2 linked regions of the Coturnix japonica genome follow. The protein of the gene in region 2 purifies or fractionates together with the protein of the main gene of each other region. This does not show direct contact. Links are inferred from orthologs where the notes say so. Each region holds a gene or a part of one and is shown on either strand. Other genes may lie near its edges.

What was found. The genes of interacting proteins can lie anywhere in the genome.
Region 1: the proteins of STK35 (region 2) and C21H1orf174 purify together in Homo sapiens (affinity purification with mass spectrometry; 3 studies listed by BioGRID and IntAct, counting the BioPlex papers as one, with this or other methods). This does not show direct contact. The link is inferred for Coturnix japonica from reciprocal best matches to the Homo sapiens genes STK35 and C1orf174.

The regions. Positions count from the first base shown.
Region 1 is NC_029536.1:765,433-769,694, reverse strand, and holds C21H1orf174 (UPF0688 protein C1orf174 homolog), read right to left. Parts: upstream 2,809-4,262; 5' UTR 2,741-2,808; coding exon 2,675-2,740; intron 2,296-2,674; coding exon 1,813-2,295; intron 1,471-1,812; coding exon 1,360-1,470; 3' UTR 370-1,359; downstream 1-369.
Region 2 is NC_029535.1:9,253,751-9,257,262, forward strand, and holds part of STK35 (serine/threonine-protein kinase 35), read left to right. Parts: intron 1-1,634; coding exon 1,635-2,347; 3' UTR 2,348-2,382; intron 2,383-3,512.

The sequences.
Region 1 (4,262 bases), on a different chromosome or scaffold from region 2:
TAGTTAGCAGACATCATCATCATTTACCTCTAGGAAAGTTCTGGGTGTTTACTTTGGTTGCTGGTTTTGGTTTTGTTTTGCATTTTTCTCCCCAGTTTCTTCCTATCACTGGTTCTCTTTCTTATCAGATCAATTCATCTAGTTCAGACAAGATTATTATTAAGACAGTATTGCTGTGTGAGTCCTGACTTGCTAGGGCTTGGAAATGCAGGAGCTTTGCTACAGACAGTGCTAATTAAAGCAGTAAATTCAATTCCTTTCCCAAACATTTCAACGTGAAAATAAGCAAATGCATTTTTAGTATGGAGTTTCAGCACCATTGGATTGATCCTGATCATCTCACTGAATATACATCAACAGTAAGAGAAGTGAAAATGCACATTCTGGTGTTTTGGTATTGGGGAAGGGACTGCAATAAAGATGTGACAACAAGCATTGTGCTGTCAGCATGGCACATTTCCTACTAACACCATTTTACACTGAGTGTGTGTAAAGAGACTGCCTAGGAAAAAAAAAAGTCAGCTAATAAGGAATTAAGGGAGAGCTGGGAGAACTGCTTTTAGATGGAGTTGTGATGAAAACCACGTATACACCAAAATAGGAAGGTTTTTTTTTGCAGTGTTACAAACTTAAGAGTAAAAAGGAGCCAAGAACTGGCACTGACAGAAACAATACATCAACTGGAGTGGGAATTTGAATAAATTAACATGTCATGCATATACAATTTGTTTGGCTTCAGATTTTTGAATGTTCAACATACTGTAGCTGTAGAAATTAATATTGATTTAAACCATCTGCTGATTATATTTTCTCTGTATTTTTAGAAATACTTTCTTCTGTGTTTATAATAATAAATATCTGGGAGCTTCTTGCAGAATCACACTTTCAAAGTACTATCACCAACACTGCATGAGTTAGCAGTTCGTGAGGTTGCTCATGTAAAAATGCAGGCCAGAAGGAACAGATTTGAAGGACTGACCCATATCTACTTGGCCACCACTACTTGTTTGTCTACCAGTTAAAGTCCTACTGAGAGATTCTGTTCTGCCTTTTTCACTGCCAATGTATTTGTGAAACTTCTATTCACAACCTTTGGAAGTCAGTTGAAAACACTGAACAATCTGCATTATAGAGCTATTAAAAGGGCAATGCTTACAGCTGACGTGGTGGAAGATGGAATTCAGTCAAACTCTGCCCCAGAAAACTGAGGGGGAATACTGTATCTGCCAACTCTAGAAACAGACTCTAGCCATTCTCTAAGAAAATGCAAATACTGACACGTCATGCCAGTGATACAGCCTACCACCATCGCTCTGGTAGGAAGACAAGGAAAAGTTTCCTGTGTTTTACAGTTTGCTGCTAGAGAACATCCTCGTCGTCCTCCTCCTCATCTTCCTTGGCGATGAAATGCAGCCTTCTGTATTCCCGCCTGCTCATTGTTGTGCTCGGGAGAACAGCTGCTAGCTCATCCTTGAAGAAAAAGATGAAATGATGAAGTGAAGTTGCTGCAGATGGCAAACCTCCCCCATCTCCAGCAGTTCCCATTCTTCCCCAGTCTCATACATGAGGCATTAACACACACACATCTGAATAAACCTTTACAGAGTGCAGAGGGGAGCCTGTCTGAACCAGCTCATGGTCCAAGTGAGGGCTGTTGTTCTCTCTGCAGTCAAAAAGGATGCAGAGGAGATAAAGTCCTCCACAAGTGAATCCTCACTGCTCCCACTAAACACAACATTCATTAAATGGATAAAAGATGAAGGCATCAGGTGTCCAAATGTATATAATATTAAAGGCAGACTCAACCTTTACCTGCATAAAGTCAATGTTTCCAAAGAACCGATCCAGTGGCATCGGCTGGTTACTGTCTTCATCCAAGAAAGCACTGTTATCTAGTTCTGTTAGTTTCTTAGGGACGTCTCCATCCTTCAAGCAGTTCCCTTCCAAAATCAAGCTCTCACAGCTGTTCTCCTCCCTGCAGGCACGATCTTGCAGATCCTCATTGCTTTCTGTTTTTGAAGGTGCACTACTTGCTTTTGCCGCATGTGGCTTTGAAGAAACATCACCTTCCTTCTCCTGTTTTTCTCCACCGGTCTCTGGAATTCTTTCACTTTTTTCCAGCTGAATTTCGTGGTGATCTGTACCTTTTGATGGTGAGCCCTCAGCAGGTGTTTTAGATGCAGGAGGGTTCTCACTCTCACACATACAGCCTTCCAGTCCTGACTTCACCCGACTGTTTCTTTCACATTTTAGCCTCTTGGAGGGCCGTCTGCCAACTGCTTTGTGTGAAGAAGCCTGTTAGAAAAACAAAGAGAAGCACATGAAGTTCAAAAGCACCCGAACACAGCAGCAACCAGCTCGTGTGGCATGAAACTCCATGCGAGAAACCTCCTGAGCTGTAGCACCAAGCACAGCCACTATGGGAAAAGATTATTTCCCCATAAATAATAAAAGATAAAATAAATAAAAGAGCATTTAGGAGGAAAAGAAAGGCCCAAATAGAGCACCCCCACGATGGGTGCCAGGCGGAGGACATCACCGCTGGCCGCTTCCCCATCGCTCCAGGCCTGCCCCCTGCCACCACAACGGCACAGCACAGCCTCCACAGCCCGTTCCCTCCCCAGTCACCCCATGTTCCCTCCGGTCCATGGTATCAGCCCGGCTCGGCCCTCACCTGCCGGCTCCCCCCGTCTCCTTTTCCGCTACCCGCCCCGGCTCGGCCCTTCCCGCCCGCCGCCATCTTGGGGAGGAGCAGCGTCCCGGCCAGGTCCGAGCCCGGCGCTGCGGGCCGCCCTTCACCACAGGAGGGGCGGAGAGATGCCTTGGGGTGCTAGGCCCATCGCGGTGTTAAACCGCCTTCAGTGGAAATAAAATAAAATAAATGTGTATGTAGGCTGTGTATGTGATAAACACTTCGGGTCTTTTGCTTCCCAGCGCCTTCTTTTTGAAAGCTTTGCTTCTAAGATGTGCATTGGGAAGTCGTTATCCCTTCCCCACAGCCCTCAGGGAAGGAATGGTGCAGATAGCCAGCAGATAACATTGCCATTGCACATCCTGGCCTGGAAAAAGCAACAATTTGAGCCTCAGAGATTCAGCAGCAATATTCCTCTGAGGATATCCAGCTCAGATGTTTTCTTTCTCAGCTCCAGGTTGGAAAACAGGCCTGCTCAGCGCTCAGGGGTCTTCTGTGCTTTGTTCTATGGCTGAGATGATTCATATTCTCCTCCAAAGCACCGAAACTTGCTCCGCTCTCAGTGTTGTTGCTCGCAGCCAAGGAATACAGATGATTGTTTTTATTATACAGTGAGAACTTATACTGCCTCGTAAACAGGAGAGACTGGAGCTGGCTGCAGAGAGGCATTTTTGCTGCTGGAAAGCTTGGATGCCGTCTCGATTTCCTCTGTGAACTGAAAATAGCAAGAAAATAAAAAGCCGTTTGGAGATGTTAATGGATGGTTTCTATAACACCGAGGTGGCAGACTCAGCAAGGTGGCCTCGGACACATCCAGGGGATGCACACCTTGCACAGACAAAGCCAGAACAGCAGGGCTTAGAACCAGCATCATAAGGGTTGGAAAGACTTCTGAGGTTGTCAAGCCCAACCATCAACCTGTCGAGCTTCTTTGCGAGGCTCCTAGATTCTTCTCACTGCAGGAAAGGCAGCAAGAGCCCCCTAAGAGACCTGCCCATGTTTCAGCAGCTCAGTGACTCCTGAGTGCCTTGAAAGTCTGCACAGAGACCACCGGCAGCCAACAAGCCCTGAAAGCCAAGCAGAGCGGCTCAAACTATTTACATTAAACTCACATTTCCACATAAAAGAGGGCTTGGTCTCAACCGTATTAAAAAGTGGGTTTTGTTAGAATCTGTTGTCTAAGCAGGCAGGAGAAAGAGGGAAAAAAAACCAACAAGGCGATTTTCTGAGCTCCCTCGTTTTTATGAGAGCTGGCTGGCGGGTATGAAGCAGCAGCTGATGAGCTTATTGAGCAGGATGGGAGGCTCGGGCTGTGAAATTCGATGTGTAAATTAGCTTCTTGCAGCACTTGTCTCTGTGCCTGTCACTTCCACCAGTGTCTCTGTCTGTTATAATCCTCCGAGTTCATTTGGTTAAACATTAGTGACATGCAAGGGACAGCAGCCAAAAATAATGTTGCCTGTAAACGTTAACGGCTGCGAACTGTTGAATGAGAGATCTATCAAACACACCAAGCATCCAGCAAGAGCACGGACTGGTCTTTTCCTGCCATGGAAAGGATATTTTTAGC
Region 2 (3,512 bases):
GGTCTTGTGTGTGACTGTGTGCACTGTTAGCTGCACCCAACCCACAGCAGTGCTGGGCAGAGCTGCTTTGTTCAGTGAGCAGAGCTGGGGCTGTGCTCCATGGCACATTGCCCATGGGTCCAGGTCCCTGGCTTTGTACTGCCTGGCTCCCTTCTCTCCAGCACAGCATCTTTGCACAGAGGGAGTTGAGGTTCCATGCAGCGCTGAGGAGTGGGAGGCTGGTTCTTCTGGCATTAGGTTGTTCCCACTGATGCAAAGCAAATTAGCAAGCTGTTAATGAGCTCCCAGGACAGGCTGCAGGGGGGTGCCTGTGGGGATGGAGGGTCGCCCGCTTGGTGTTGGAGCTCTGGGCTCTTGTTTGTGTCCCTTCATCTCTTTGCAGCTTGTCTTGCTAAGTTCATCTTTAAGTGGCTTGCCGGCTTGTTATGTTTGGAGCTGTTTGTTTTGAAGGCAGGAAGGTGATTTAACAACTCAAACGCTTTCACATTATAGAAAGAAAATGAGGAAATATTACTCTTGGCTTCGACATCTCCCAGCAGAACCCCACCCAAAGTGAAGTGCACGGTGCTCACGGCTACTGCTGGGTCAGCTGTGTCCTCCCTGTTCCTGCAGACACGTGTGGGGCTTCGTTTTGAATCTGAGCCTTTGTTATGCTGAGCCCAAACCTCAGTGTGACAGAGCCAGCGGGTCTTTGCTGCTTCCCCCTGGGATGGGACTGCTGGGAAATGCTGTCTCGTCCCACCTGCATGCTATGGTGTGATGCTCCCAGCTCTGTGCACATGGCACTGCTGTGGTTCCTCATGCTGCTGGCTGACAGGAGCTCCCTGACCCCTTGTGCTGGGCTCAGCACTTTGCAGACCCCGGGTGGGAGATGTTGAACCCCCCCCCACACACCCCAGCCCTACTTCTCATGCTCTGCTGAGGGCAGGGAGGTGCAGCCAAACCCTTGTGTTGTGCAGGATTTCATTTCCATAGCAGTAGCCATGGATACAGACTGTTTGTGCAAATAACCAGTATTCCCACCCACACCAATCGCTGACCACTGTGGATGCCAGAGAGCCTGGGCCTCGGTGGTGCTGGTAGTGCTTGGCTCTACCTGCTGCTGGGAGTTTGCTTTCCCAGATGGTCTGCAGGCCTTTGCTAAATGAAAACAAAACAACCTTGGTAAAGTAGGTGGAGTTCTTTAAGTAGTGTCCAAACACTCGGACTTGCCTGTGCTTTTCTGACTGTGGTAGAGGCAGCTGGATCCATCAGCATGGCTGAGGTTGCACTTAAACATAGTGCTACCTCACTATGTTGACTGCTTGAGCTTCCAGTTTGGTCTCTCTGAAGACCTGTTGGTGCTTCACTAGAGCTGTAGGGAAGTGGCAGAGCACAAACACAGTGCTTAAACAGCTCACATCTGGCCTGAGAGCAGCTGGTGTGCTGCAAGACTCTGGTCCTGGCAGTGTTGGGTGTGTGGGTGACTCCAGTGCTTCCCTGGGCAGCCTGTCCCAGTGCAGCCAGTTCCTCAAACTTTTACTGTCTGTGTAAATCAGCCTCGTGTCTTTCCCTTGTTCTGAGTTAGTGTGGACACCTTCCAATGTGCCTGTCAGAACTCACTCTTTGTTTTTTTTTTGCTCCATTTTGGTAAGGTGAGAGGATCCTGGGCTACGCGGAGGAGCCTTGCTACCTCTGGTTCGTCATGGAGTTCTGTGAAGGGGGGGACCTCAACCAGTACGTGCTGTCACGACGACCTGACCCTGCGACCAACAGAAGCTTCATGCTGCAGCTCACCAGCGCCATCGCCTTCCTGCACAAGAACCACATCGTCCATCGGGACCTGAAGCCAGACAACATCTTGATCACCGAGAAGTCGGGCACCCCAGTTCTCAAGGTGGCTGACTTTGGGCTCAGCAAAGTCTGTGCTGGTCTGACGGCTCGAGGAAAAAAGGGTGGCCATGAGAACAGAAATGTGAATGTGAACAAGTACTGGCTGTCTTCGGCTTGTGGCTCTGACTTCTATATGGCCCCCGAGGTCTGGGAGGGGCACTACACTGCCAAGGCTGACATCTTCGCCCTCGGTATCATCATCTGGGCCATGATTGAGAGGCTCACCTTCATTGATGCTGAGACCAAGAGGGAGCTGCTGGGGACCTACATCAAGCAAGGGTCTGAGATTGTGCCTGTTGGGGAAGCGCTGCTAGAAAACCCAAAGATGGAGCTGCACATCCCTCAGAGGCGCAGGACTTCCATGTCTGAGGGGATCAAGCAGCTCCTGAAAGACATGTTGGCTGCTAACCCGCAGGATCGACCTGATGCCTTTGAGCTCGAAACCAGAATGGACCAGGTTACATGTGCTGCTTAAATTCAGGGCAGGGCACTGCTGTGCTTTGCAGCTGGGTAAGTGATCGGTGGTTTTTATATTATTCTGTCTGCTGTCCAGCCTGTTAATGCACTTTGTAGTGACACAATGGAGTCCTTTATGTTCCCAGAGCTATTTCTATAGTGACTCATCAGAACTCTGTTTGAGTGGTGTTTTTTTCCCCACCTATTCTATTGCAGCAATACAGTAGAGGTGAAGAGCAGATGAGCAGCCGCATGTCCTGGTGCTGCCCAAAGCCCAGACACGGCTCTGCTCTGTGGACCTGGGCTGGGGAGGCACATTGAACATCCTGACATCAGCTTTGGGTGTGTTGGTCCCTTCCAGAGGCAGGGAAGGAGCTGCCTTTTCTTCTGTCTCCTCCACGTGCTGTGATTTCAGCAAAGCTATGAGAGTTCCTATCTCTCAAACATGGTGCTCCTTCCCCACTGGTATTAGGGAAGGGCAGCTTGGGTCATGGCTGGCCTGCTGGGAAGGCACTGAGCTGAGCGGCAGGTGGGTTCTGGCACAGACAAGGCTGTTTTCCTTGCTTTCACTTGCAAAGCATGTGCATCCATCTCGTTTCATTTCCTTGCTGAAGGCAGGACTTCAGTGCCAAGCACAGTTGCATAAACCAGTGGGGTGCTTTGGTGTTTAACATCTGAGCTGAGACCTGAGTCTGCTCAGGAAGGAAGCTTACAGAACATCTGTGCTCAGATGGAGCTCGGTTCGTGCAGAGTCCCTCCCTTCTTCCCCAGGCTCAGGGCCTAAATAGTCCTGAACTTGGCTTCTGCTGCATCCTGGTCCTTAGTGGAGGTCGGGAAGGACACCCACAGAAGTGGGATAGAGCTGGCTGTGTCACTCAGCAGTGACATCAAGGGAATGAGCAGTAGTGATCATTGGTAAAGCTGTCTGTAAACAAGAGCTGTTACTATGGGGCTCTCCTGGCCAAACACTTCAATGAAACTGAAAAATGACAGATTACAGGGTGAGGCAGATATCTTTCCAGTCCTGGTATTTCACAGGCTGCTTCAGAGCTGGACAGTGCTGCTTCCTGGTCCTTACTCACCAGAAACCCAACAGATCCTTCTGGATCAAAGTGAACCGCAGATACAAGAGGGCAATGAAAGCCAGAACTGCTGCTTTTACTGGCAAACACCCAGCTGTCAGC